Drosophila melanogaster: one gene and its partner. The protein of the gene in region 2 interacts with the protein of the main gene of each other region in a pairwise test. Each region holds a gene or a part of one and is shown on either strand. Other genes may lie near its edges. The genes, in order: CG9192 and CG5070.

Region 1 (15,882 bases), on a different chromosome or scaffold from region 2:
AATGGTATTTCCATGCATTATAAACACGTTTCTTATGCAACATCTCGAGATAACTGCAGCCCAGACTAGGTTAGTTACGGTGGCAGCTTCAACCGGGTATCTAGCCAGTAAGATTTAGTATCGTAGTTCATGTCTAGCCTAATTGATTATTTTCCATTGAATAAAGTTCTTAAACTAAAATCAAACCCTTCTTTTGGCTAATGGCAGCCGAGTACATAAATCGGCAAATCAAATACTTAATAGTCAAGGTAATACGTTTTCTTGCCTGCTAATCACTTATGAGATTAGTCGGATCTTATCGCTTTACGCTTTAAGTATTTAAAGTGTTGACCAGTTGGAAGTGCATTTGGTTAGTCTGCAACTGATAGCGCTGCCAAAATGAGTGGAAGTTCTCCCAATTCCATAAGGCCTCTGCCGCCGGGTCTGCAAAAAGTGGCCATCGAAGAGCTGAACGAAGTGCCAAGTCGTGTGGAATCGGACATTGCTGCTCTGAAAGAATGGCTACAGAAGCAGCCCCATCTCTGCGCCTGTCTCGAGGATCAGTTCCTGCTTAGTTTTCTTAGGGGATCGAAGTTTAGTCTGGAGAAGGCCAAGCAGAAGATTGATCGATTCTATAGCCTGCAAGCGGTCATTCCGGAGGTTTTCAACGATCAGCGATTGGTTGACAATGCCCAGGTGTTGGAAATTATTCGACTGGGGTATGTAAATCCACTTTGCGTTCTCTAAACTCCAAATATTTCTATCCCTGCAGAGTGATCTTGCGCATTCCCCTCGATGAGGAGGATACTGGACCAGCCGTGACTATTATTCGAGCTGGCTCCTACGACATCAATAAATTCAAGTTCCAGGACATCATACGTGTGGGCTCCATGTTCGGTGAGATCATGATGCTGGAGGATGACAATGCCTCCGTCAGTGGCTACCTGGAGATCATGGACATGAGTGGAGTGACGGGTGCAAATCTGTTTGCCCTCCAACCCCAACTTCTCAGCAAATTCTCGGCCTATGCGGACGAGGCTATGCCAACGCGTCAGAAGGGAATCCATTTCATCAATGTGCCCAAGGCATTCGAGACGGGTTTTAAATCACTGCTTGGATGGTTTCCGGGAAAAATCAAGGAGAGGGTAGGACAGTGCAGTTCTAGGAATATGAATATCTTTACAACTCCCTTTCTTTTAGGTTTCCGTTAGCTCCGATCCGGAAGCTATTTTCGAGCGAGTTCCTAAGCACTATCTTCCTGAGGAGTACGGTGGCTCAAAGGGCACCATGAAGGATATCACCGACCAGATGGAGGCAAAGCTCTGTAGCTATCGCAGCTACTTTGAGGACTGTCAGCATTTCGGAGCCCATGACAAGTTGCGCGAGGAAGCCTCAGTGCTGAACCCAGACGAGAGTCACTTTGGCGTGGATGGCTCTTTTCGCCAGTTGGTCATCGACTGAATCGGCTAAAATACCTGTATACTTACTTACCTGGGCCATAAACCTAAAATAAATGTTTTCGATAAGCTCACTCTTCTTGGCGACTACTTCAATGTGTGGCTATCAGCTCTCAGTCGATTCAGCCTTATCGATTTCGGGTCGAATCGCAAAACTAACTGGGTGAAAAATCAACACTCGTTCATCGACCGCCAAGAAGAGAGGAACAAGATGCCGGCCATCCGACCACTGAGTCCCGAGCTCCAAAAGACTGCGATTGAGAACCTGAATGAGGTGCCTAATAAGTTGGATGACGACATCGCCGCCCTGAGGGATTGGATTAAGCAGCAACCCCATTTGAAAGCCCGCACAGATGACCAGTTCTTGGTGAACTTCCTGCGCGGCTGCAAGTTCAGTTTGGAAAGGACCAAGTCGAAGATCGACAGGTTCTACACACTACGCACCAAGTACCCAGAGTTTTATTTGGGTCATAATGTCGATGTGGACAAAGCACTGGAGATATTCCGATTGGGGTGAGCTGGAGAGATGCAAATCCCAGAAATGTTTTGTCTAACCCACTTCATTAATCTTTCTCCAGCACCATAGTTATTCTGCCACGTCCTCTAAACGATAATGGCCCGCGATTGGCTCTGCTGCGCATGGCCTGCTATGATCCCAGCAAATACACCCTCCAGGAGGTGAATCGAGCTGCTGGTCTCATGCAGCAGATTATGCTCGACGAGGACGATGTGGCCATTGTGAATGGTTTAATATCCATTCTGGATCTGTCCAATGTCACCACCGGGCACTTCCTGCAGATGTCACCGTCCTTCGCCAAGAAGATGACCGTTTTTCAGGAGGAGGCCCTGCCCCTGCGACCGCAGGGAATCCATTTCATTAATACGCCCAACGGATTTGACACCATCTTCAATATGATCAAGCCCATGATGTCTAAGAAGCAGCAAGGACGCGTAAGTAACCCCAACTGCACCAAGCAAAGTTGGAAGGTAATTGAAGTTCTCTTACACCGCCAGCTCTACGTTCATGGAAGCAAATGGGAGGCACTCTACAATCAGATTCCCAAACAGTATTTGCCAGTGGAATACGGAGGGGAGAACGGATCGATTCCGGAGCTGCTGCAGCAGTGGGAGCAGCGTATTCTAGCCTACCGGAATTACTGGGAGGAGGAGAAGAACTACGGAACCGATGAAAGCCTCCGAGTGGGTCAGCCTGTTGACTTCGAGAGTCTTTTTGGTCTGCAGGGCTCCTTCCGGCAATTGAATGTGGACTGAAGTGTCAAGCCCTCCTAACCCTGCTAAATTGCTTAAAATAGTCTTAGCTGCAGCTCTTATCTAAGGTAACAAAGGTAATGGTTGTACACCAGTCGATTTGTGATAAGCATAGCGCTAAGAGCATAAAAAACAAGCCGAAAACTTAGCACAGCATGTAATAAAGATAGTTAATTTTATATTCAATTACACGTTAACGAGTTTATGATTTTCATTTAAAAATTGTAGATTAAGTCCATGCATTGCTTATCAGTTAGACCACCTGTAGCAGCAGATTAATTGATTCCTTCAATCAGATAGACACCATAATCAAAACACAAAGTGCGACGACTGAGAGAGCCAAACAATACAAAACAAACGACGACCAGAGAAAAGCCGAAAATAAAAGTTTTTCCAAAACTATATATCTACGGAAGACAAGAGAACTTCGCGTTAGACCAAAAATAAACCCAATTTCCCGAGCGATCCGTGGAGAGTCCATCTGTAGCTGCGATCCGCAGTAAGAATTTGTGGCTCGTACGGATCGGTGCTTCTTTTCTCTGTACGGATCCCATCGGATATAGAATCGGAAACGGATTGTTAGACGGAAGACGGGAGAGTGCGGGCAAAATATACAGCATGGAACTTAATGTGGAAAACTGAAAAGTTTTCCTCAGTGCGAATCAGAAGGCGATCAGCGATCGGTAATCATCATTAACAGCAGTCCAATGCCCAATCCCGATGGGCCCATAATTCACCAGCGCTAATTGCCCACATGAAATCGAAGTTCATAATTGCTCGGACATGTTATGTAGTCCGCATCTATAAGCAAGAGGAACCAGCAGAGTTCTCGACAGGCGTGGCACGAGATTTGACGATGAGATGAATGCCCCGCCGGGCGGCGGCACCCAAAATAGTCTCATGGAGTCGAGTCTTCCGCACCTGATCCCCTTGGCTCTTCGGCCTTGCCCCAGCAACCCAAATAAATAAATATTTGGACAAATAAACATATGTGCCGTGGAGCTTTGTCTGGTTTACCTTTTGGCTTCTCGGTAATTGCTCCTTTGGAGATTACCAACGATTTCTGAAACGAACGCCATAGAAGGCGTGTTTATTCGCAGGCATAATTTTAAACATTATGTAGCATTCCCATTAAGGTTACTACAATATATTACTTCGGAGAGGCACTCTCAAACAACTCTTCATCTCAACAACAATTTACAATTTCTAAGGGTATTTGCCAGGCCGACCTCCAAACATTTTCGTCCCATCCTTTATTTAGTTTATTTTGCCTTTCATAATTCACAGCCAACCGAGCGGCAAATTAGCCAAAGGAAGGAGGAGGCCAGAGGAGGGTGACCATGTCGGGTAGGCGGGCCCAATCTCTGCCGGCGCACATGTTGGAGCCAGCGAAGCCGCAACGCGGACGCTGTGTAGCTGCCATCTGCTTCTCGTGGAAGGTGCTCACCTGCATTGTGTCCCATGTGCTGCTCGTGCTTCTCGTGGTTTCCTATTGCGTGGGCGGTGCCTACCTCTTCCAGCATCTCGAACGACCCCACGAACTAGAGGTGAGTGGGTGATTTTGCTGGAAGGTCTCAAATGCTAAAAATCCAAAATCCCCATGCAGGTGAAGCGAGACATACAGAATCTTCGCGTTAATCTCACGGAGAATATCTGGCTACTGTCCGACGACGCAGTGGTCCTAAGGGAAAGCGATTGGATGGCCAATGTCAGCAAGCACCTGGCCAATTTTGAAAAGCAAATCCTTACGGCCATCAAGGCCGACGGCTGGGATGGCGACGAGGATCTGCGCAAGTCCCAGTGGACCTTTGCCGGATCCCTGTTCTACTCGATTATTGTGATAACGACCATAGGTGAGTATGTTTTTTTTAAGCTTATGGATTGAGTTCTTCAAAGTCATGTGTGAGTAAACATGGGAATTTATTTGCTTAGTCTATACGTAAACTATGCCTACACTAAGGTGACTACTTCCAACTCAGCCTAAGGGAAAAAGGAGGGTTGAGTGGGAAAGTAATAGCTTCAGTTCCATATCTTTAACATAACACCTTCCACTTCTAAAACACGAAGCTCTAGACCTTCTTACTGAGCTTATCATTCACTTTTCTGGGTGACGCTGCCACACTCTTAGCACTCTTACCATCGGCCACAGCTGGCGATTTCTCGTCATAGCCGAAGCCTCCTCCTAGAGGTGGAAAACTTCCACCGTATCCGAGTCCACCGTTGCCTACTCCAAGTTGACCTAAGCCCAGTCCTCCTGCCAGACCATAGCCCTCGGTGTACTGAGGTCCACCGAACTGTTGGTTTGCTGGGTACTGTCCCAATCCTGGGAACTGGGCACCTGCGCCCGCGAATTGGCTTCCACCGAAGTCGCCACCTGGATAGGAGCCGTAAGGGTATTGCCCATTGCCAGGAAATTGGTTGAGGCCAAGTCCATTACTGGGGAAGTTGTTAAACCCACCACCCACGCTGGCTCCGGGGAATCCAGCTCCGGGAAGTCCCTGTCCTACTCCTCCGTATCCGCCTGGATATCCACTAATGCCATTTTGAGCTCCAGAGAATCCACCATAGCCTGGCTGATAGGGAGTGGGGTATAGCTGCGGTCTCCCTATGATTCCGGTGGGTCCGCCAGGTCCGACTAGCACTCCGGGGTTTCCGTTATAGCCTCCAAGTCCTCCGAACTGTCCGGCATTGGTCTGACCACCGTATGGATTAAACTGACGGGTGCCTACGTTGGGAGTGTCCGATGACCTGGTGGGCTCCACATCGGCATAGTCCTCTATCTCATCATTCTCCGGTTCGCCCGGAAAAGGTCTTCGAGTCGTGGGCTCCCGCCTCAGCTTTTCGTCGTACGAGTTCCTTATGGGGGAACTGCGATTGATGTCCCGAAAAGAGCGCTCCCTGCGATTGTAGGACCTCCAGACCCACTGATCTCGATCTCCATCCGAAGACTTAGCCGCCACTGATCCAAGAAGGCATAGGACGATGATGAGGCAATAGCTTGGCATGATTGGCACGCTTTGTTCGATTACACACTGACCCGATTTTTGCGCTTGATCGCGGCAAGCTCCCGCAACAGAATAGTTCGAAAATGCGACCGGCACACACTACTTATATAACCGCACCCGAGAACCAAAAAACAAATACAACCGCCAGAGACATCAGCGGCGATGACGACGCACAAACTCAGTCAAGCGACGAGGGCAGCCGCAGGTATTCGCATTCGGCGGCTGCCCGACCAATGAATCAACGATCGTGCCAGACAGAAATCTTCAGAGATCTGTGGCCCAAGTCTTGGCCCACGTTGATTCACCTGAAGCGCGACCAGACCGCAATCCGCCCAGGAACCAATGAGGCAAGCGGATGAGTCGGACAATTGGTTTTGTCCACACAGCGATCACGTTGAAATCGCATAAATCACGGTAATTGACCACCACCGATCGACCTAAAAGCTTATTCCTGGGAATTTCCATGAGTTGGAAAACATATGCTTGCTTCCTTTGCAGGGCGGGAGTCACAAGTCAAAGATTCAGCTCGGACACAGTCAGGTGAGCAGCCAGCACGTGGTTGACCTCTAAAAATGGGTTCATTCGGGTGGTGATGGCTTTCAAAGGGAGCGAGGGTGTGTGGAGCGTGTCAAATGAAACCAAAAGTGGATTGCTGCCATCCAATTGTTTGTGGTCAAAACAACAGCAAGGTCAAACGCCACTGACCGATCGTGATTATCTTTTCTGGCATTTCAGATTTTTAGATTTTAACGATGGGAATTTCTCATTATTAGTATACCCTAACACACAGGGGGTGTTGGTGATTAGTGATTACTCATAAAAGGGGAAGTGGTGCATGGAAGGTTTTCAATCGAAGGCCTTAAGCAAACCCCAAGAACTCTATAAACTCTCCTACTTTAAAAGTATACAGAAACCTTTTTCACTTTAACCCACTTAGAGCATTCAACTTTTCGGCTTTCGAGTGGAAGTATTTGGTATAAATCAGTTTATTAGCTCTGGCTGTTGATGATGGGAGCTTAGTTTTACGCTTTTCGTCTGCACTTTTCCCCGATATGGATTTACGGCTAGCACACAAATGGGTTTAGTGACCGACGCCCATCAGATAGAACCCCGCGAAGAGGGGCACAGAATGCTATCTACGAATTTGCACACTTCCGTAAAGGCCAAAAGCGGCAGACTTGAAATGCCATGTTTGCTATTTCGAAGCGATAATGGGCTTGGCATGAACAAAAAGAAGTACATATGGATTGGGGATTGGGCCTTAGCGGGTCTTAGATTCATTAGTATTTCAAGAACTTTGCGGTCACGAGGTTGAAGGTGAAAGGTGACTCAAAATCAATCTTACCTATCTGCGAAAGAGTAATTATGTGTTCCTTGTCATTCTCTGGACAGGCTATGGTCACATATCGCCGCGTACGGATTGGGGCAAGGTGACAACGATTTTCTACGCCATTGTGGGCATTCCGCTGATGCTCATCTGCTTGTCCAACATTGGCGATGTCATGGCCACATCATTTCGGTGAGTTGACATCGATGAGCTGAGAACTAAATGAGTATGTTTTCATACATATATTCCAATATAGGTTTCTGTACTGGAGAATATGCTGCTATGTGTGCACCCGCACGGCCAAACGTCCGAGGAATGCCCGATCCCGGCAGAGATCGATGCGCTCTCAGCGCCATGCCCGATCCCAGCCGCCGCCCTCGTTCCGGCGCTCCATGAAGATGACCCAACGGTCTGGGAATGACTCGGGTCTGGGTCCTTCCATGGGTCATGCCTATTCAGATCCCGACCTGCGCACCATGGGCCGGGGCTACGATGACCGCGAGTTCGGACATCGGAGCAGTGGAGGCGGACGCAATCGTCGTCAGCAGCAGCAGCAGCATTTGCATCACGATCCTCGCCAGCGTCACACCATTTACGGAGATGGGTACGAAACTCAGACCCTGAACAGATCCAACCGCTACAGTAGCCGGCAAAGACAACGGGATCGGATGAGGGACAGACACACGGTAGAAAGGGAGCGCTACTCTCGATCCCACTTGGATGCTGGATCCATTGAGGACTTCGGTGACATGCAACCTCCTGCGAAAAGAGCTGCCAGTGTGCGATCGGTTCGATCGCCACACAATCAGGAATCTTCCAAAGCGTCCAGAGAACTGCATCGTCTTCACTCGGCACCTGGGAGAAGTAGGGCCAAGTCCGTGGATCCCAGGCACGTTTCTTCACATTACGAAGACGTCGACGAGGACGTGGTGAGGAAAACACCAATTATACCAAATAGGTATGCTTTAGATGACTTCGGGGGCAACAGAAGACAAGCAGCTCCAAGGAGTCAATCCATGCCCAGATCTGCTCACCAAAGGCAACGCCAGAAGGACAGAGAACGGGAACGATCTCCACAGCCGCCACCGCAGAGCTCCTATCGCCAACAGCATGATAGACGAGCTGGAAGTCTGGGCAGGCAATCATCTCGCTATGGCAACCATCTCGAACTTCCCGACTATGATGCTCCACCGCCGGGACGGGACCATCGACGGGATAGGCGTGGTCACTCCCAGGGTCGCTACGAGGACTACGTGGAAGAGAGCTTCGATGAGGGATCCCTTTACGGAGACAATAACTACGAGGATTATCCGCCTGAGCGCCACCACTCAAGGAGTCGAGAACCAAAAAGAAATCGCCGAAGAGAGCGGGCTGAACGTTTGCCCCCTTCCCCGAGAATCATGTCACCAATGGGATTTCCGGTCCAGCGGCAAATCCGTCGGCGACCCAGCTACGATTACGACGACGATGACTCTATGTACGGGGATGAGTATGGGGACTATGGAGATCTGCTGCCCAAGGATCGACCTGTCCCCATTTGGTTATGCGTCTTTCTGGTAGTGAGCTACATCCTTGGCGGAGCTGTTCTTTTTGCGTACTGGGAGAACTGGTCCTTCTTGGATTCCGCCTACTTTTGCTTCATTACACTGACAACAATCGGTTTGTGTTTATCCCAATTCCTTGCGCACTCTTTTCATCTGCTTTTGCATTACAGGATTTGGTGACTTTGTCCCCGCGAAAGGAGTCAAGGACGAGTCGGAGCAGTCCATCGCCTATTGCTCGCTGTACCTTCTTTTCGGCATTGCCTTGTTGGCCATGAGTTTTAACCTGGTCCAGGAGGAGTTCATTGCCAATGTGAAGGAGGTAGCCCGCCGTCTGGGCATTCTTAAGGATGATGACGACGAGCAGGATGAGGATTAGTAATAGATAGATAGATAGTTATGACATCTGTTTTTTCCTAAATATGTTGGATGCTCTAATTATAAGGAACACACTTTGAAAGATGGATATTTAATATGTTTAAATGTTTTATGAAAAAAAACTTCAACAAATTTAAATTCACAAACGAGAATATGATAAGTAAAATAGTTAAGATTATATTAATTATAAAGCGCTTCCTTGGAAGGCATGACATCATTAAAAAACCAAATTCACTTCTTCCCTAAAAAATAGTATCGAAGTTTAAGAATACCTTCTGATATATCTTAAACCTGCACTTGAACTAAAGATTTCCTTAACTTTACATAGCATACTGAGTTTATTTAAATAATAAATGTACGAAATTCCAAAGATTGATATACAGATAAAATGAATATCCAGAAGAGCCAAACAAACACAGCGATCCGAAATCCACTAACATAAACGGGTTACTGGGAAGGGGAGACTACTACTGTCATCGAATGCAATCAGGCTACGTTTTCTTTGTTGTGCTAAAAATATTGAAAATAAAAGCAATGATAATATATCCCCACCCTTTATTTGTTAAGTCATTAGCGGACTTGCACTTGACTTACCCTGACGAAGGCGGGAGAACCTCGAGGTGACGTTTTACTGGGTGTCAGGGAACGTGACAACGAGCTGCTGCGTTTTCCACCAGTAGCTACGGGTGGCTTTAGGGCGTTCGAATTGGAATTGCGGGTGGTGCCGCACCCACGCTTCACGGTGACACCATCCACGGGCTCAATGGGCGTGGAGTTCATTATGGTTTCAGTTTCGGACAGCTCCTGGACGGAATGCATGGAGACGTCATGCTCACCCTCGCTGCACTACGGATTGGAAACATAAAAGTTGGTGCTTTTCAACATACAAGGTTGAAGGATTTTAGGTTACCTCATCTATAGTGGCCGTGGTGTCCAGATCTGACCAGTCCAGCTCTTGGCGATAGCGCCTCACAATTTCCTGATGTGGCGACGTGGCCACGAGGGTGCGCGGATAAACGAAATCCCTTTTGGAGGGCGTGGTCCCAGTTGGGGCGTACGTTTTCAACTCCGACTGTTGGAAGCGTACAAGCTCTTGCTCGCAAATTTGCAGCTGCTGCCGTTGGTGTTCAGCATGCTCCGAGAACTGCCGGTTCGACTCTTGGACAAGATCAGTGGCTACAGTGGCATGGCCTATGAATCGCTGTCTGTCCTCGGTGATAAGCTGCTGCCTTGCATCCACCATCTGTTCCAAGTTAACTTCGGTTTTCTCCTGCACCGCCTCAAGCTGCTGCTTGCTCTCTTGGCAAATAATTTCCACCTGATTGTGGTGCACTCGAACGGAACCAACATTCTCATTTGTTTCCTTTTCGTATTTCTGGTTGAGATTCTTCATGTGCACCTGAAGCATCGAACAGTTGGCAACGCCTTGGTCCAGACAAAGCATTCCCGCCTCCATTTGGCTGGTGAGCTCCGCTTGTGCGGATTGGGAAGCTTCTATGCCCAACTTTTGGTAGTCTTGGATACCAGACTTAATATCATCGATGCGATGATTTCTCGTCAGTCGACTCTCCTCCATCTTATTAAGATGTACGGACATGCTGATGCTATTTTTGGACCGCAAGTTCTTGATCTGTTCCATCTGCATCATCATGGACTCAAGGAGAGCATCCTCCTGCTGCGCCAGAGCTCGTTCATTCGCCAACTCCTCTTGAAGATTCTGCAGTTCCTCCGCATCTGGCAAACTCATTGCCCCGAGCTGCTCCAACTTCTTGTGCATTTGCTTCGCATGTTCTTCCACAGACTGTAAGCTGCTGTCAATTATGGTGGCGAACTTTTCCTGCATAGAGTCCAGCATGGCTTTGTGCCGCTGGTTGTTTTCCTCGATCACCTGCAGGTTAGTCTGAATTTCTTTGCTCATCAAAAGCTGTTGCTGCTGCATCTGCTCCATCAGCTTGGCGACAAATGCCTGAGAGTGCTGATCGCTGATCTTCATGACTTCTCCTATTAACTTATTATGGAGGTTGGTCTGATCCTGTAGCGATTGGGCACACATCTCCTTAAGCATTTCGATGCTTTTGCTGGAATTTAGTGCAAGGCGTTGGCTCACATAGCTCGAGTTTACTGGAGATTTATAAAATTTTACTTATGTACAATAATATACAAATTGATTTCTGTAGATAGCTTACCCATTTCCTGGCTTAGCTGCTCCTTGAGGGCTGCCTGCTGATCCTGATACAAGTTCAGGCTGCCACCGATCATTTCCAAATTATCCTGCATACGATCTTTGAACTGATCGCAAGATCGGCGAATCTTCTCATCCAACTCACGCCTTCTTTCGATGGTTCCGTGCAGCTGATGAGTATCATCAGTGGCCAGATCAGCAGCGGCTAGGATCTCCTGAGCCTGTGTGGTCAAAACCTGCTCCGTTTTCATATGCGAGGCCACCAACTCCTTTTTTTCCTTGTATCGTCGCTTGGTCTTGGTCAGCACTTTCTTGGTCAGGAGCAAAGTACCCTTCGTGTTCAGTAGGTTCTCCTCGGTCTTTTTCAGCTCCTGCGTTTTCTCCACAAGACTCATGCTCACCTCACTGAAGATCTTCTCCTTGTTCTGGAGTTCGTCCTTCAAAGCCTTGAGCAGCAGCATTTTCTCGTTAAGCTCGCGGTTCTGGGATTCTAACTTCAAAGTTATCTCCCCGTAGGTTTCCTCGGCCAAATAGATGCCATTCTTGTCCCTGGCCGCCATAAGATCTCTTTTAAGCTTGTCGATTTCTTCGGTGTATTCCTTGAGCACAGTCTTTTTGGTCAGCTTCTGATTGACTTCGGGCTTGTTTTGAATGTTCTTGGCGCGATGAGCGTACTCTAAAGTGCTCAGGGTCTCCTCGATGTCCTTGTGGCCCGGCGATATGGTGGCTATGATGGAGGTCTTGGTCCTGCCACCCAGAGATTCTTGCAGCAGTCTAGTCAGCTTTGATTCACGATATGGAACGTGAGGAGCGCGATCGACCAAAGCGGTAATTACTCTACCGAGAGTCAAGAGGCTCTGATTGATGTTTACTGTTTCCCGCACACGTATTCCCTTTTCATTCCCAGCCTTGGAAACATTTTCACTGCCCGCCAGATCCACCAGATTCAGTTTACCGATTTTCAGCATGTCCTCTCCTTCGATGCCATTCTCCCTGATGTGCACAACTATAGAAAATACAGTGTGGGAGCGTGAGGACTGTGCATTCATCAGCGTAGTGGCTGTTTTGCGACGCTCCTTTCCCTTCTCCAGCAGCTTGTACACATCATCCTTGCTGTGCACTGGTATCTCCTCCAGGCCCTGGATAATCACCGATCCCTTCTTGGTGCTGTCATCGAAAATGCGTATCTTGGTGGTGTCATCGGTGGACAGTAGATCGCACAGCTCCTCATTGTACAGTTCCAAGTAGGAAATGCGCATAGTGTACTCCACCTCCATCATGCGCAGCTCATCGAAAAGGTGACTCAGAGCGCGCGGTATGATGCCAATGTCAGAGTCCTAAGCGGGAAGACAAATTGGAAAAGGTTAGATTAGCGATTCTTAGAAAAGAAAAACTGGTTTCGATGGCCTTGAGCCAGATGGCTAAGAATGGCAAAGACCTTTTTTGTTTGGTTAAACTGCGAAAGTGAGAATGTAGGGCCCTACGCTGATATGGTTGATATGGTTTTGATTTGAATTTTTGTTCACTCACATCTTCCCAGGAGGATTTCAGTTCGGCAGTCTCGTTGCCCACCATGGTGTGGGTCTTCCCTGTGCCCGTCTGGCCATAAGCAAACACCGTGCAGTTATAGCCATTGAGGACCTCCTCGATCAGCGGAGACACCACGACGGAGTAGACATCGCACTGCTTGGACTCGGGGCCAAAACTGCGGTCAAAGGTGAACTTCTTGGTGAGCTTGGAGTCCAGCGTGTGGCGGGTGACCACTTCCCGTGGTCCGACCACATCCACGACTTCGGCCGAGCGGATGCAACGTTCCCGAGAATTAAGGGGTCTACAAAAGATATAGAAGATATATGTAGATCTTTTTAAGGGGTTTTGGTTACATATACAAACTCACCTGACGCGCACATACACCTGGATGTTTTGGTTGGACTTCTTTTGGGGCTGGCGCGACGTATTCCCACCAGATATGTCCATATTGATCAATTGAAACAATTAATTGTGGTTTTAGCGCGTACAGTCCAAAAAATGACGCCTGTCGCGTGTATCGGTATGCGTGTGTGTGTGTGTTTGATTCCTGGAAATCCTTGTGCTTCACCTTCCACCGAGCCGAATGCTGATAACTGTAACTACTATTTACAGAAGGCTGGCGTGGAAAACCAATTTTCGCACTATTTCCAATGAGAACAGAGAGAAGCAGCGTCTTCAGTTGTCCGTTCAATTTTAAAATAATGCGCAAATAGTGTGACCGCAACACGGCACCCTGAAAATACCAACATCGAAAAATACAAGTATTGGAAAACTACAGAATGTTCAAATTATTTGAATTAAATAATTTTTTATCTTTTATTTGTTCTACATTAAACCATTAAATATGTATAGTAAACTCTTATTATCAAATAATCCCGACTAGGCTATGTGGTGAAGAATGCCCTGCCTCACGAGAGACTCCACCTGAGCTCGGGGCAGATAGTGCTGGCTGTTCTTCTTCAGGTGGATCACCTCGCCGTCGTCCAGCTCGAACTTCCCATAGTCCTCCATGCAGCGCACCTCGATGTAAAGTGACTTGGGCGGACGCAGATTGTTGCCCGTCTGGCCATAAGCAAACACCGTGCAGTTATAGCCATTGAGGACCTCCTCGATCAGCGGAGACACCACGACGGAGTAGACATCGCACTGCTTGGACTCGGGGCCAAAACTGCGGTCAAAGGTGAACTTCTTGGTGAGCTTGGAGTCCAGCGTGTGGCGGGTGACCACTTCCCGTGGTCCGACCACATCCACGACTTCGGCCGAGCGGATGCAACGTTCCCGAGAATTAAGGGGTCTACAAAAGATATAGAAGATATATGTAGATCTTTTTAAGGGGTTTTGGTTACATATACAAACTCACCTGACGCGCACATACACCTGGATGTTTTGGTTGGACTTCTTTTGGGGCTGGCGCGACGTATTCCCACCAGATATGTCCATATTGATCAATTGAAACAATTAATTGTGGTTTTAGCGCGTACAGTCCAAAAAATGACGCCTGTCGCGTGTATCGGTATGCGTGTGTGTGTGTGTTTGATTCCTGGAAATCCTTGTGCTTCACCTTCCACCGAGCCGAATGCTGATAACTGTAACTACTATTTACAGAAGGCTGGCGTGGAAAACCAATTTTCGCACTATTTCCAATGAGAACAGAGAGAAGCAGCGTCTTCAGTTGTCCGTTCAATTTTAAAATAATGCGCAAATAGTGTGACCGCAACACGGCACCCTGAAAATACCAACATCGAAAAATACAAGTATTGGAAAACTACAGAATGTTCAAATTATTTGAATTAAATAATTTTTTATCTTTTATTTGTTCTACATTAAACCATTAAATATGTATAGTAAACTCTTATTATCAAATAATCCCGACTAGGCTATGTGGTGAAGAATGCCCTGCCTCACGAGAGACTCCACCTGAGCTCGGGGCAGATAGTGCTGGCTGTTCTTCTTCAGGTGGATCACCTCGCCGTCGTCCAGCTCGAACTTCCCATAGTCCTCCATGCAGCGCACCTCGATGTAAAGTGACTTGGGCGGACGCAGATTGTTGGTTAGATCAATGGGCAAGCCCTGGTTGTAGCCCGCACTGCACATGTAGGCAGCCAGGGACTTGGAGTAGTTGTTGAAGAAGGTGACCTCCGGTTCGCAGAGTGCCTGCTTGATGTCCCCGGGGATAATGGGTCCAAACTCCCACCTGAGGGCCTTGATCCTCCTGCACCGCTCGTATAGGTAGGCCAGCAGGCACCTCTTGTTCCTCTGGAGAGCTGCGTGCCTGAAGTTGAGCAGGGGCCACAGACTGCGATCCCCGGAAGCATTGTAGCTGGAGGCCTGGGCCACGTTCTCCTCGAATATCGCCTTGATCTCCTCCAGCACCTGGCGCACCCCATCGTCGTCGAAGGCGGGAATTGTCTGCGACGATCTCTCCAGTTCTTTTAGCAGGTCGAAGGCTTTCTCGCCGAACATTTTTGTTTGTCGGCTCATTGTTGATCCTCTCTGTTTTTCTTTGGTTTGGGGATCTAGTGATGGATTCGCGCCAAAATGTTCGTCGACTTGTGGTATCGATACTTGGTATTTCTTTTGGTATATTTCAAAAAATAACAAAAATTTCATCCTCAGTAGCCATGTTCCTTTAAAATAGATTTGAAACGGTGATTTATCAAAATTTAGCTTACGAGGCCCAAATTATGCCGTCCTAAGAGGAAATGCCATCCTGGTTAGATTGGTGCAACTGCGGGAGTGGAGTACCACATGCAAGTAAGTGGGTGTGAACATCTTAAAGTATCGAATATATTAGCTATTCGCTATTCGGCTATTTAGCCAACTGGTCCATCCCTATCACACACGTAGTGGCAAAGAGTTGGCCCAAAAATCAGATGAACTGCAATTTGTGTGTTAAATCAATAAAGAACGAGTAACCTCCTGATTGTGTGGCTGATTTTGGTGCTGTGCGTGTGTGACAGCGGTGATAGCGACAGTGAATCCCCGATTACAGGAAGTGAGCAGAGAAAGAGGAAGCAGCACTGGCTATAGCTATTAACCCTTATCCCATTTTTAACCCTTAGTCTTCGAAGTGGGCCAGCCACCGCCCCCGGAAATCATGGACAGCAGGGAGGAGAACGCCGTGTACGATGACATGAACCTGTACATCGCACCGCAGAGCTTCATCATCGAGCCGAATGGAGGAGATGAGTTGCTGGTCATCGGGCGCCACGAC
Region 2 (15,474 bases):
GTGGCGGTGATGCGGCTCCACAGCATATCCGAAACGCCCTCGCCTCGCAGGCTGTCCAAGTACAGCCACAGATTCTGGAGTGGCCATTTGCCACCATGGATGGAATTGTACTCTTGCTAGATATTAGAGTAAAACATTTATAAAGCAAATGTTAAGTGGGCGCAAAACGCTTTTTTTTTTATCAAACACACTTATTTGCAATGTTGACTTAGGACTTATGTACTCTTACGTACACGGACTTGGCTACTTACATTCGTTTTCTGGATGCTGACGTTCGTCAAGTGCATAAACACGTTATCAATCTCAGTTTCGTCGTACTTCTCGGTGCAAAAACGGCAGAAACCCTCCTTATAGAGATAAGCCTTGAGCGGATTGAATGTGGTCACAAGGACGAAGAGTCGCAGGTCGAATTTCTTGCCGCCGATCAGCAGTGGATTGTCGATGTACTTGGAAATGACGCAGGTGTCCCGGTTGATTTGCGGATAGAAGGTGCGCGCATCGTATGCGAATTTTTTCAGTTTGGACAACTTGTTGACCAGATAGATACCTACACCCTGGGACTTGCTGCATGGCTTCACTATCCACGTGCTGGCCGGATTGCGATGGAAGACCTCGACGAACATTTGGTAATCGGAGGGGAGGACAAAGGTCATGGGTATGATGTCCAGGTGCTTGTAACGGGTACCGCCTATGCCCAGTTTCGTATCCGGTGGATGGCTTTGAGCCAACGGATCGCCACGTCGCTCCAGATCTTTGCGATAGCGCTTGATGTTCTTGATTAGCAAATCCTTGCGCGACAGCTCAATGGAGTTCGGGAAGTGGTTAATGACTCTGCGGTGAGATCTTAGATGGTTAGACAAAAAGTTGCTAACCACTACTTACTGATCTGATCGCATGCGATATGGATGATCGATGCCGAAGATGTAGCGACAATTCTGGGTGCACGCCCAATAGAAGTTCCATTCGCCATTAAAGGAGGGCACCTGTAGCCAACCTCTTTTCTGGAAATTGCTGACCAGCGCAGACTTGTCCCAATCTGTGCTGTAGTAAATGCCGTTTCGGGATTTCGGTGGTCTCAGTCGATTCCGGATGTAATGCAGACCATTGATGGGCTGGGTGATTAACTTGACCTCAGGCAGGTCATCGTCACTAGTGCAACTGCCGCCGCATTTCTGGCGAAGATTCCTCAGAGGACTGGTCTGTCTTCGCGTGCTCATTTGGGTGGTTGTATTTTAGATACTGCCCCTCTTTATGCTGATAACTGAGAATTTTGCCTAATTTTGAAGCGATCGTACTTCAGTTGCTGACAATTTAATTATGGCCTGGCTGATGCCCCCGCGTTGGCATCTAGTAAGCCCATAACCTTTCAAGAATAGGACCTTGGGTTCCAGAGAGCATACTTATTTCCCAGCTGTATGGTCAATGGTTTACAATATTAATTCACTTGTTCCCACAACTGATGAAAAAAATCTGACTGTTTTCCGGCAACAGATCCGCTTGCATAATCCCCGGGAAGAAAACGAAAGTGCTAATTCCCTTGAAGCTGCAATGTTTGCCCAAAAATTGCGTTATATTCTTGGATTCTAGCTAAAAGCAAACCTTCTGCGAAACCACAAGATCGCAAAGAGTGAAAAATCTGACTTTGACACAAATATTTGTGACACTAGTTCACCTGCCATCGGAACAGGGGGCCCTCCAAAACCCATTGAGTAATTTCACACATTGCGGGTTTTGGTACAGAACAATCGCGCACTATTGTCGAGCAATTCGACTTGGCTGGGTATAAAGTCGATGGTATGGTCACCAGAGTTCATCAGTCGACGCGGCAAAGTCAAGAGTGGATTTTGTGGATTAGCAGGAACACCGAATCGAAGATATACACATTACATCACCATGAAGTTCTACCTGGGATTGGCGGCAGTAGTAGTTGCGATGGTTTCCCTAGCGAAGCCGGGAGAAGCCACCTTTGGCAAGCTTAATCTTCTTCTGGGCGGAGCCACTACGTCTGGCTATGGATCTGGATATGGCGGCGGCTATGGTTCTGGCTACGGCTATGGATCTGGCTATGGATCAGGATATGGCGCCGGCTATGGATACGCTCCCGAGAACGTGGTGAAGGTGATCAAGGTATCGGTGGTGCCAGGAGGTGGAATCGGAGGAGGATATGGCGGAAGCTATGGTGGAGGATATGGCGGCGGTTACACTGGCGGCTATGGCGGTGGCTATTCCAGCGGCTTTGTGGGCGCTGCGCCTGCCATATCCACCTCCGCCGTGGTTACACCGGTGGTCACATCGGTGTCCACCCCGGTTGCCACTCCTGTCCTGGCCGGTGGAGCCGGCTATGTTGGCGGATTCGGAGGCGCTTTGGGCGGAGGATTGGGTGGCTATGGAAGCTCCTTCGGCGGTGGTGCTGCCCTTCCCGCCTCCTACGGCTATGGCGCTGGCTATGGCGCTGGCGGCGGCTTTGGACTGGGATTCGGTGCACCACCACCACCACTTGGCTTGGCTGGAGGACTCTGCTAGAGAACGACGAAGCCACAACGTCAAGTGGTTATTTTTTTTTGATAATTTTAAACAACGATTTGTAATTAAAAATTAACGATTTGTAATAAATTGTATAAACGAAGAGAATAGTGTTTGCTTTTTTGAGCTCACCAAGAGTAAATCTTTTAATAATACTATACATAATGAATATTTTGTTTGTTATAAATATTTATAAACATAATAGTTCGTTTTAAGCTCATAAACCTATGCAACTCAATAAATGAGCAGCAAATATGTGGAAGAAATAGAATACAATCAGTGATTTTGTCTGCCCAAAAGTGTGCTAAATAAAATGACATTAAACAAACCCCTCCAAGTTCTATACTCTATACATATACAGATCTATAAGCCGCGATGTAACTTTTTGCTTTTGCAATTTACTGCTTGACAATTACAAAATAAAAGAGTTCGCACCCATTTGAAGAGCCACCACCCAAAAAATGTATTGGCCCACCCAATCCTAGTGACCTTCGGTTTGGGCCTCTGAATGAAAACGAGAGTTGAGTGCTGTTTACGCACTCAGTTAGCCGGCTTTAACCCTTTCCGCCCCCCCAAAGCTTCTCTTTGCCCATCGAACTGGAGATCGTGAGCCCAAGAAAACTGTTAATGGTAATCAAGTGCCAAAAACCAAAAGCAAAGCCAAAGTCAAAGTCAAGTCACAAGAGCCAAGCCCAAAAAAAAAAAATATAATGTTCGACCGAGAATGCTGTATGCCACATGGGTGCAAATTGGTTGAGCTGGACCAGCTCCATCTTCATTTCCATCTCCAACTCTAGCCACATATGTCGCAGTCACTTCAACTAAAATGTAAATGGTAATGTGTAAATTGGCAATGATTTAATATTTGCAATGCTAAGAAATTTGAAGATAAAATAGAAATGAAATAAAATTAGTCAAGTAGAAAACACAGCAAGAACCTGAAAGCTTTAATACTTTTAAGCTGGTTAACATTCATCTTAGTTAATGTTAAAAATTTTAAATATAAATTCTTATATACATACATAAGTAATTCGTTTACTACATCCAATTGGGTTTAGCAACTATCTTAAAATGTTATGCTTGTTTTATTTTTCGCTTGTGATTGTCTGAAACTTTTGTAAAAATACAAAAAGTATAAACTTCAGAATTAGTTGCTTATGCTGCAAAATTGCCTAAAATTCCACGCATCTTTCCATAAAAATGAATTTTACGATACTCTCGTGCTACCAAAAAAAAACCAGTTGTCGAATTATGGGAACAGAAAATTTCGCCAGATGGAACAAACATACATATTTGGAGGGTTCTTGTCTATTTTTTTTTTTGGTGACCCAATTTGCATATCTGTCTAGATCAATAGAAAAAATACAAAGGTTCCAAAAAAGCGACATTTACATATATGTAATATTTGATCTGAGTTGGGAGGGAATACGTCAGAAAACGTGGACGTGGACAGGTTTTCGGGTCGAAATCCGAGATGAGCGAAGATTTCTGGGCGTGCTTGGGTTATTTGGATTTTCGGATTTTGGCTATTTGGATATTTGGATATTGGCGAGGCTCCAACCCATTGAGCCCCTTGACTACGTGTAGTCATGCATACGATTTCGGTGGCTGAATGAGTGACAATGCCAATACGCTGGCCACGCACATGTGCCAGTGTGCACTGCGAGAAATAGTAAAGCGAATTTTCGAAAAAAAAAATAAATTAAATAATATGAATTATTTAACTAAAATTTTTTTGGTTTAAACTTATTCATTAAATTGCATTATTTGTACTACACAGGTAAGTATTTGGCTTACAAATCGAATTACAAACTTATAAATAAAAGGGTATGTATTTTCATTTACTGCTAGATTGAAATATGACTGCTATCGATCAGATATAATAAAATACTCTCTCAAATCAGCATGATTCAAATTGGGACAGTATATGAATCAGAAAATTAAAATGCAACTCGCATTGCATGGTAGAACTGGTGGAATTTCCCAAACGTTTGTTCACATTCTATAGAAAGAGAAATAATAAATTGCACTTTTAGGCACAAAAATATTTGAATATTAAATTCATATTAATATGGATCCAATTAGATGAAGGGATATTACCTTCATCTAATTGGATCCATATTAATATGAATTTCTAGTTTAAGCTGCGTTTCAGATCATATCACGTTAACAGCTCCAAATATTTCCCTCAGTGCTAATTGGGGAATTACCCGAACCTTTTGCGAATCCGTAACGCTCTTGGGCCGTAGATTTATTCAACTATTTTGTGCCGTGCCGGTAGATGCGAGAAAATATCTCACTTGATGGTTAAGTAGTTGAGGTGACATATGAACAGACAGCCAGACAGCCGGTGGCTCAGGGCCCCGCCCAGATTTGGAATACATTTCGACCGGCCGACTCGTCTTGGGTTGTATTGGCTTGTCTTGTCTCTTTGGCCCATAAGTAACCATTTATGAATTAAGCAAACATCTGTGTTCGGGGCATCTCATCTCGTTGACTGGAGGGAGCATAACATAGTTTAGAACTACACAAACGCACACGGCTGTTGGCCGGCTATAAATTAGTGCCTCGCCTCGATTTGGGACATCAGTTGAGTTTCGTTCAGGTTGCCGGCAGCATCAGTAGCACCACTAGCATCACCAGTATCAACATGAAGCTGTACGTTTGCGTTTCGCTGGCCCTTTTGGCCCTTTCGGCACCAGTTCCTTCCGATGCCCTGTTGGGCGCCAAATTGGCCCTGCTCAAGGCCATTGGCGGCGGTCTGGGTGGCGGCAGCTCCGGCGGCGGTGGCTACTCCACCGGCAGTGGTGGCTATGGAGGCGGCTATGGCAGCGGTGGATACTCCGGCGGCTACAATCAGGGATATTACAACCAGCCCAGCAGACCGGTGTACAACTCCGAATACGGCAGTTCCTCATCCTCTTCCGCCAGCAGCAGCAGCAGCTATGGAGGCAGCTATGGCGGTGGTTATGGCGGCGGCTACGGTGGTGGCGAGCAGGTCATCAAGGTCATCAAGGTGGTGGAGCAGCCCTCTTACTCTTACGGACGGTCCTCTGGCTATGGTGGCAACTATGGAGGATACTCGTCCAGTGCCTCGTCCAGCGCCAGCGCCAACTCATACTCCGCTCCCTCTGTGAGCTACTCTGCTCCAGCTCCCGCTGTGACCTATTCCGCTCCTGCACCCGCTGTGAGCTACTCTGCCCCAGCTCCCGCTGTGACCTACTCCGCTCCTGCTCCTGCCCCAGCTGTGACCTACTCTGCTCCAGCTCCGGTGGTGCGCGTTCAGGCCGCTCCAGCTGTGACCTACTCCGCTCCTGCTCCTGCTCCAGCTGTGACCTACTCCGCTCCTGCTCCTGCTCCAGCTGTGACCTACTCCGCTCCTGCCCCCGCTCCTGTGGTGCGAGTACAGGCTGCTCCCGCTGTTACCTACTCCGCTCCCGCTCCCGCTGTTACCTACTCCGCTCCCGCTCCCGCTGTGACCTACTCCGGTCCCGCTCCTGCTGTAACCTACTCCGCTCCTGCTCCAGTTCCAGTGGTGCGTTACTCAGCCCCAGCTCCAGCTCCCATCAGCTACGCCCCTGCTCCCGTGTCCTACGCCCCGCAGCCACAGAGCCAACAGGTGGTGAAGACCATCAAGCTGATCGTCGATGAGGATCGTGCACCCGCCCAGGTTTACGGACCACCAGCGGTGGAGTCCAGCTACTCCAGTGCTTCCTCCTCCGCTGCCGCTTCCGCTGGTGGATACAACGGTGGCTACAACGGTGGATACAACGGTGGCTACAACGGTGGCTACAATGGCGGTTCCAATAGCGGCTTCTCAGGTGGATTCAATGGCGGCTGGAAGCGTGGCGGTATCTTTGAGAAGCTGGTGGGCTGCTAGGTGCTCATGTAACCATAACTCAAAGCCACTCAAGGACTCCAAAATCTAACCTAACCTAACCGTACTCAACTATTTTTTTTCTAGTTCTAAAACGAATACCTTTATTTTTTTGTTCGATCGATGTGTACATAAAATAAATCAATATACCCGATATCAGTTCTTTATAACTTTATACTCTTATGTAATCGCCAATACCTCAGTCAAATTCGTCTGTCTGTTAGCTTATATGTATGTAGATGCATATATCTTTTTTTTTGGGATTTTTTAGGGTTCATTGTGTTATTGATTCTTAGCCAAATTAACACCAAGTTGCTAACTCCCAACGAATCGGTTGCGATTCATATTCCAATTCCGGATCTGAAGAGATCGCGGAGAGGGCCCTGAGAACAAGGTTAAGATCGAGGGACAGAAAGATTCTGGTTTATAGGGTTCTGATTTGCATTTGAATATAGTATGTGCTTGGGGGTTTTTTTCTAATAAACAGAAAAAATGTTAATCAAATTGCTAAATTGTGTGGGAGATGTTTATATACATTTAAAAAAATCATATACCTTTGATATGCCTGCTTTAAAATTTTTTAGAATCTTTTAGGCTTGCATTAAAATGAATTAAGCTCTACATATAAACAATGATGGACTAAATCAAACTATATTTCATATTAATTGAATAATTGAATCAAAGTATCTATGAAAAATTCTAATAGATTCCACGATCTTTATCGGCTAAGTGTCATGCGATTTGAGGTGCAGTCATCCAAAATCGTCACCGATGGGCGTTCATCCAAGACCAAGAACATCCGTTCGCCGGCGCATATAAAAGCTGTGATCCCCTCGAAGAATCGGCCAAACAAAATGCAGGTGCTTAATGTGCAATTGTTTATTTGGGCAATAGTTTTTGCGGCTTTAGTACGTGGTCATGCTGTGGAGAAGGAGCAGCCGGCGAGCCACGGTGCGTATGAGCGACGCTATTTGATGTACTTCCCTTATTTGTGTTTTTATTATATCTGCAGCTTATGGACCACCCATACACATCAGCTCAGGTGTACTCCAGCTAGCTCCGGATACGGAACAACCCCATCTGCTGCTGGTGCCCAGCTCGTACTCCATGTCACTGGGAAATCCCTGGCCGCATTACTATGTGGACACCTTGACCGCATCGCATTTGCCACATTCAGTGATTCCATCGATTCCATCGATACCTTCGATACCTTCGATCCACGAACCCCGCATCGTGGTCAATGATAATGTGGACTTTTCGCAACTCAAATTGCCCCAGCATCAAGTTGTCCACTCCCACGGCCGCTAAATGGGTTCATTGCGAAACAATTTATAAACTATCATAAATAACTACTTTTCGGCGGTCTTATTACTTTAAGTTAAGTTTTTTTTTGTTTGTTTTCAATTTATTATTCAATAAAATTGCTATAAAATATATTGGTTTTTAAGGTTGACGAATGCATGGACAATATTTATATGTGTGCCAAAAACACAATTTTTAAATATGTAACATTTTTAAACATGCAGATTTTGTAATTAATTAAAATCCAGGACATCTTTTTAACTTATTTAAATTTTCATAAATACTTGACCATATTTATTTATAGGTTGTGCCCCCAAGAGAGCTTTTCAATTCAATTTAACTTACATTTATTTTAATAATCGTTAAAAAAAAAACACTTTTATAATAATATAATCTTTGAGCATTTTGATAGGTCTTGTGTGCGACTATCACAGTCTTAGTAGAGATGTTCCAGCTGGTGGTGCTCCGCCAGGTGGTGGTCGTGCTCCGCCTGGTGCTCCACCTGCTGTTCGAGTGCCTGGTGCTGGATGTGGTGCAGTTCGTGCTCATCCCGATCCTTGAACTCGTACAGGGTGCTGTAGCTGAAGGCGCCCTTGCCATGATCGATGCCGGGCACAGCCTTGTGGTCCTCGTAGTGGGAGTGCAACTCGCTGGCCTCGGCGTACTCCTCGCCGGCATCGCTGCTGCCGTAATCTGACGGGAAGCTCTCCTCGCCCAGGTGATCGCCGAGGGAGCCCAAGTGATCCGCCTCCGCGGAGGCTCCGAATTCGTGCGAAGATGAGCTGAAGTCCAGCTTGGACAAGGCCTCGCCGCCAGTCAGACCGCCGGCGTAGTGGCCCAAAAGTCCCGCCGAATGGACCACTGCATTGGAGGACACATCATCCCCCAAAGGATAACATTGGATGCCTAGCAGCAGCTGACCCAGAAGGATCATCAGTTTCAGGCGATAGGTGAACATGGTTGGATGTGGTAGAAGTGTTTTAACCGACGCGGCGAAATGTTTCGAGTCAACTAATTTACTGCTACCAACTGCATTGGATTTTATATGCTCGGAGCACTCACATTCGACCGCAAATACATGCCGCATTTTCCTGCATTTTCCGTCGACTTTTGCACACAGTCTTTTGTTTTGTTTGGCTAAAAGCGAAAAACACAGAAAAAAAAAAATGTTGCAACGGACATCTGCCTGCTGGCCGCTCGTTCGGCTGGAGCTGATAATTTGCTGCACTTACTCCGCATTACGTCGACGTCTAAGTGGCGGGGCCATTGAAAAGCCTGTTGCAATGGTGCGTATACGTAATAATTTTGGTCTTCTCAATTATTTTTTGGCTTTTTGGCCATTAGGCCCGTTCTCGGTATATGGACCATATTGCGTCATCTGTGGCATCCCTGTGGGCCTTAACCCTCCGCCTATTTGCACTTAAGGCGGAAGCTCGCTAGATTTTTGGCACAGGCCAACTAATTGGGTTTATCAACAGCAAATAGTGGAAGTAGAATGGCAAATATAAAGAGTCATTCACATATACGAGTATGTGAGTTGAAGGTGTATATTTATCGGGCCAAACAATGCAGTGAGATGTGTCCATTGTGCAAAGTGGCCAAAAAGTGCACTTAACTCATTGAGAAACTGTTTGGATAGGTACTTTTATATTTGATAAATATAAAATAGTCAAAGATGTAGAGTACAAACTTATTTGAAACATATTTCGCAAATTTATTAAATCACGAAAAGGATTTAAATACATTGCCAAAAATATTCTCTAAGAACAGCATCCGTTTATCAAGTCTTTTATTTTATATATTTCTCTCTTAACTTATCATCAGCGAGTCTTACATAAATCTATAACTCAAACTAACTCCAAATTATAGTCTAATGGATATAGAGCAATCTGAATTGATTTCGATTTCATGAGTCTCTCTACTGCAATTAAAAGCACAAGAAGCCAGCAGAGCGAGAAGTCCGCGCTCGATCGCCAGTAGTTTTTAAAAAAACCCACAGCTCCATGCGTCTGACATACTCACCAATATTCCCATTCCCAACAAGATATGGGTGCTATATACTCCATATATGGAGCACGAGTGCCTGGAAGATTGCAAAAGGTGGAAAAGCGAAACAAAACCGTTACCGATGTACATATAAACATTTGCCGTCAATTCAGCGCGCTATGTGCGAATAAATTTCCAAAAACTAAGAAAATCGGTTTGTAGCGAAGTTCGGCTGCTCTCATTAAATGAATAATAATATATGAATCAGTAAAAAAAGTCAAGAAAATATCAATCAACAAATAATACTAGTAACAAAACTTTATCGAAAGACATCTGAGAATATAAGCTGAAAAAAGCCCAGGAAGTAGAGAGAATATTATATTTTGAAAACTATAAATATTAAATGAAACAACTGATAAATATTTATTTTATCACAATAATTAAAAAATTAATTTTTTAAATGGTTAGTTGCTTCTATGGTATATTATACTATCCCATTAGGATTGACATTTATTGGGTATTTTCTTTGGGTGTAGCTCGGCATTTCTTCGAAGTCGGCCAGTGTGAATAATTGGGCAGTATTAATCTGTGAATCCACCATCCAAATGGCCAACTGGAAGCACTCGCATTTGGGCTATTGGCGCTTCTGATTGCCGCTGTTTATTCCATGTTGCTGGTTGCTAGTTGCTGGTTAATAGTTGCTAGTTTCTGGCGGGTTGCGTGCCGGCAACATCAACGAACAGCAGCAGCAACACCACCAGTCGGGCTCACAAATTACCAATGTAATAGCACCGCTTGTTTTGTGTTTAATTTTGATACCCCTTAGTCTTTGAGAAAGGGGGTATACTAGTTTCGTTAGAAAGTATGAAACAGGTAGACGAAAGTTTTTCGACCATGGATACGTGTTTTCCTCGAACTATTTCATAGTTGAGCCACTCGAATACCTCTTGTCATAATTTTGTATTTTTTGCTTTTTGTTGATTGTGGGGGCGGTGAGTAATTGGGAGCGGTGCAATGTGGTTATTAGGTGGCTCACTTTTTGGCAGTCGATGCAACATTTCCTAACGCAAAATTTTTGCGAGGAAATTTTGCGATTGCAACCTGGATTTTGCAAGACCAAGTAGTTCGTGAGGCTCGGACACGTGGAAGGTGGCCAATATCGTGAATTCGTGTCTTAGAATAAAAAGTTTTAGCTCGGAGAGTGATAAATTTTGTTTGGAATGAATGAAAAGAAATGTATATATATGTATATATATTTATATATATATTTATCTCACTTAGCCTTCGTATAAAAGGCCAGCCATGTGTAGGTGTTTTTACAGTACCTTCCGGATTACCATGTCTTCTTCGATTGCAGTGGTGCTGGTGGTGGTGCTGATTGGGATTTCTGAGTCCATTAAGACTGATTCTCTGATGATGACCTCTTCTTTAACTCCAGAGATTTCGAAGTCTGATAAATTAAAACTAATCGTGTCGCAAAATGCGGAAAGTTCAAAGGATACAGATGCCATCGAAACTGACATCTCAAACGAACATGATCCACGTGATGCCTTAAAGGATTCTAGTTCGCCGGATGCGGATGTTTTAAGGAATAAGACAACTGAAGGCTTAATTTCTTTGAATAATAAAGCCGAGAACACAATGACAGGATTGGATGATTCTGAAAGTCTTAAGTTGGCACGGCCAGCGAGTTCATATCAGGAAGCGCTGCTCAATCGCCTACAGGATCAGTTGAATCAGTTCGTTGTTGGCTTGCCCCTGGACTTGGGCTTCTCCACCTTGAACTATATATGCAGCACCATTGTGGACCTCGGAGTGGTGAGGTCCAAGCTAATACCGGATATGTCGCGTATGAGTTTTCTGCTTCGATCGAGTGATGATTGTCAGAATACCAGTATTCCACTGACGCAGGCGGAGCAGTTATGGAACACTACCGGATTTTATCAGGATCGACCCACTGTCTTGTTCATCACCGGCTGGACAACGAGCATTAACAATTCCAATAGTGGTCCCGTGGCAAAAGCTTATCTTTGTCGCAATGATACCAATGTTTTGGTAAGTCGGTATTAAACCTATTCATCTACAGGCATAAAAAGTTTCATTAAATATAAAAACATACTGATAGAATAAAAGAGAGAGATATTTATCTTTAAAAAAGTTAACCTCATATACATACAATTTACCTTGAGTATATCACTTTCAAGTCATTACAAATACACCTCTATTTAGATTCTAGATGCTGCGAACTTCATAGACACCCTGTATACATGGTCTGCCCTGAACACAGAGGTTATTGGAGATTATCTGGCCAAGGCGCTCCTCCGGCTGAATACGAGCTATGTGACCAAACAGTTCCATTTGGTGGGTCACAGCTTGGGCGCCCAAATAGCCGGTTCAGCGGGCAGAAACTATCGACGATTGTCTGGGGGACAAATCCTGAAGAGAATCACCGGATTGGATCCGGCTAACCCATGTTTTTACGATGGCAATGAGCTGGAGGGTCTGCGGAGTGGCGATGCCCGATTTGTAGACATTATCCACACCAATCCCGGCATGTTTGGCACATCGAAGCGGGCCGGCGATGCTGACTTCTTTGTCCAGGGACGGATTCCCTTCAAGCCGGGATGCGAGAGCCTTGACCCCATTAGCTGTTCGCATCAGAGAGCCGTGGATTACTGGACGGAAACGGTGTATCCGTCGAATGGGAATGACTTCCTGGCCAAGCGATGTAAGCGCTATTCGGAACTCCTTCTCGGAAACTATTGCAAGAACACGAATACCGTGATGGGCTATGCCGCCAAGGCCACGGATCTGGGCCTGTTCTACGTGGGCGCCAATCCAGAGGAGCCCTATGGCCAAAATGCCAATCTGCAGAGCTACACAAACTCCGACACAAAATGTGGATCTTGTGCATCATGAATATTCGTACATGTATTCTTATAGTAGTATTATTAAAAACGAAACGCAATAAAAAACTGTTATCCGCAGCAAAGTCTTATGTTATATTGTTAAGATGTTGATGTTACATAATCTGTACCTTTTTACAACGCCTATATCAACCAAAGTAATCTAATATTATTCGTAAACGCTGAGAGATTTTACCTGATAATTTCAAGGACAAGTCCCAGTTGAGCCCCCGCCCCCTCCCTCTTCCGGAGAATTTAGAGCTCCGTGATTTGTGTAAGAAATCGCCGAAAGCTGATGTCAACGCCAAGTTAATTCTTTTGTGACGTCTTTTTGTTTGGGGCACACTAAAAATTGTCCAGGGCACGTTGACGGAATGACAATGGCTTGGAGATTGGGAGCCGTAATGGGGGAATACGGAATGGGAAATAAGTGGTGAGCAATGGGTCCGCATTAATATGGCCATTAATATGGCCCTGTTGTCGTAACCGGAGGCACTATTTGATGTTAAGTACGTGAGAATTGACCTTACACTGCAACATTACATACTAGAGCTTTAAATTTCAAAAATGAGCAGATAAGAAACAAAAAAGAGATATCAGAATTTAATAAAAGGTTTGCGAAACAAAAACCCACAAGTGGGATTGTTGAAATTTGTTTATATAGATACTTTAGGATAAATAAAAATGTAATTAAATAATATTTAAATTATTTAACTCATTTATTATGTATATATTTTTTTATTATTTATATACATAAGTTTATTCTAAATATATGATTTACCAGTGTATTTTTTGATACACTACTGATGGCACGGGCCATTGTCGGTAGAGTGAGGAATTGTGTAAACTGAAAGATCGTTTATGCCATTATCAGTTAAAAACTGCACGTGGCGATGGTGGGGATCAAGAAAATTTTGGGGAATTCCAAGACCATTTGCCATTTGTTTGCTGAGATTAAAACATAATCTGTTTTTGGTGTATGAGAACAATTGAATTAGAGGTCAAATTTTGTAGCTGATAATCGCTGTAATAGGGTGTTTAACCGGTCGACTGGATGCCCCGTTGACTGCATAACAGGGCGTTATCTTTCAGTGCTAATGCCGTCCGATTTGCTTTAGTTTTCGATTAGAATTAAAATAAATGCAGATGAGATCGGGACATGCGACTGCAGTTTGCTCCGGGCCGGATTTCTCGATTTCTCGCCGAGATGTGGCGAAGGCGACGAATCGAAATGGAAATGGAAACTAATTAAGTGACAAGTGCACCTTATCTGATCGGAACACACATCGATATGGTCACAGTTGACTGGAATCATATATATATATATATATACATATAAGGCAATGTGTTTGTCGCGCGAGCCCCTCCCTCTGGAAGCTATAAAAACAATTGTGATTTGGCTTCCGGCATTCAGTTCTCGTTGAGTTTGTGTCCAGGATGGGACGAGTTCCGGCAAAGATGCACACGCTCCTCGCGCTCCTCCTCCAGCTTCTGGTGGCCTCCATCCACGCTATCGAGTGGTCGCTTCCGGATGTGATCAATTCCATCGGAAATGTGGGCACCAGCATCGTGGATCCCAGTCTTCTGCCCACACCCCAAGGACTCCTCGAAGGCAGCAAGCAGCTCATCGCGGGATATCCATTCGAGTTCGTCTCCAACTCCCTGAACGTCATTTGTGAGTATTTATTTAAGTTCTAGAAAACACATAATTTTTAAATGCAGAATTTTTAGATTAATAAACATTACCTATTAAATAAACAATTTTATATAGTCATTCTAAAACAAATTATCTTAAAAAATTAAAACTGCTTAAAATAAATTACTTCAAAAATATTTTCAGGCTCCCAGGCGCTGGCTTCAAACAAAATCAAGTCGAAATACTCGCCGGATATCAATAAAATGAACTTCCAACTGCAAACGGCGTGTGAAAAGAAAAACTTCCCACTTACAAGTCCGGAGTCCATGTGGAAGAGTCCGCTTTTCGATGTCAAGAAGAAGGTCGTCATTCTGGCCACCGGATGGACCACCACCGTGAATGGTTCCGATACCATCGAAGTCTTCTCAAAGGCCTATAATTGCCGTGGGGATGTCAACTTTGTGGTAAGTACAATCTATATTAATTAAGGTTGAAATATGCCACTTAAACCAATAAATCAATAAATAAGTATAGAGGAAACAAGTTTGTCACAGAAACATTTATTGTTATTAAGTTTTCCTACTGATAAGGTTCAGATCAGATTAAATACACTCACAAGCAGGTTCAACTCGTTAGCTCCGGATTTAATGTAAATGTTTTACATATTTTTTTTTCACATTGCGCATTCAAATTAATGCTAATATTAAAACCACGGGCTTTAAAGTTCTCATTATACTTTGAATATCCTAACACCTACTGGCATAATACACAGCTTATGCATATATGTACATATATCTAGGGTAATTTGTTAAAAATATGTCATTACAGGCGGTGGATGCTGCTCGTTTCGTTGATACCCTGTACACCTGGTCGGCTTTCAATACGGAGGAGATTGGCGAGAACATCGCCCTCGGATTGGTGAAGCTTCTCGATCTGGTGCCGGTGGAGAATATCCACTTGATTGGCCATAGCCTGGGCGCCCACATTGTGGGTTCGGCGGGACGGCACCTGCAACACCTGACCAATCAGACGATACCCAGGATTACTGGATTGGATCCGGCCAAGCCGTGCTTCAACGAGGGTGAAGCCCTCTCTGGTCTGATGCGCGGAGATGCCCACTTCGTCGATGTGATCCATAGCAATCCCGGGGTGCTGGGCAAGCGGGATCCGGTGGGCGATGTGGACTTCTATCCGGGCGGAATGAGCCCCCTTGCGGCGGGCTGTTTCTCGGTAACCTGTGCCCA

What was found.
Region 1: the proteins of CG5070 (region 2) and CG9192 interact in a two-hybrid assay, tested with the Drosophila melanogaster proteins (one large-scale study listed by BioGRID).

What each region holds. Positions count from the first base shown.
Region 1 is NT_037436.4:1,232,526-1,248,407, forward strand, and holds CG9192 (uncharacterized protein), read right to left. Parts: upstream 5,795-15,882; 5' UTR 5,711-5,794; coding exon 4,775-5,710; 3' UTR 4,608-4,774; downstream 1-4,607. Other genes in the region: CG33965 (uncharacterized protein), read left to right, coding at 379-698, 752-1,124, 1,180-1,440; CG33966 (uncharacterized protein), read left to right, coding at 1,648-1,949, 2,015-2,387, 2,451-2,708; galene, read left to right, coding at 4,046-4,252, 4,312-4,558, 7,103-7,229, 7,294-8,696, 8,752-8,957; Klp61F (Kinesin-like protein at 61F), read right to left, coding at 9,443-9,466, 9,551-9,802, 9,867-11,077, 11,143-12,475, 12,669-12,969, 13,036-13,115; CG32318 (uncharacterized protein), read right to left, coding at 13,548-13,962, 14,029-14,108; Psf1 (partner of Sld five 1), read right to left, coding at 14,541-15,149; Sac1 phosphatase, read left to right, coding at 15,766-15,882.
Region 2 is NC_004354.4:17,201,302-17,216,775, forward strand, and holds CG5070 (uncharacterized protein), read left to right. Parts: upstream 1-1,810; 5' UTR 1,811-1,893; coding exon 1,894-2,523; 3' UTR 2,524-2,624; downstream 2,625-15,474. Other genes in the region: TTLL1A (tubulin tyrosine ligase-like 1A), read right to left, coding at 1-116, 252-831, 883-1,217; CG32564 (uncharacterized protein), read left to right, coding at 5,174-6,403; CG32563 (uncharacterized protein), read left to right, coding at 7,135-7,351, 7,413-7,708; CG12995 (uncharacterized protein), read right to left, coding at 8,139-8,660; CG18258 (uncharacterized protein), read left to right, coding at 11,027-11,743, 11,918-12,607; CG5162 (uncharacterized protein), read left to right, coding at 14,032-14,269, 14,435-14,694, 15,059-15,474.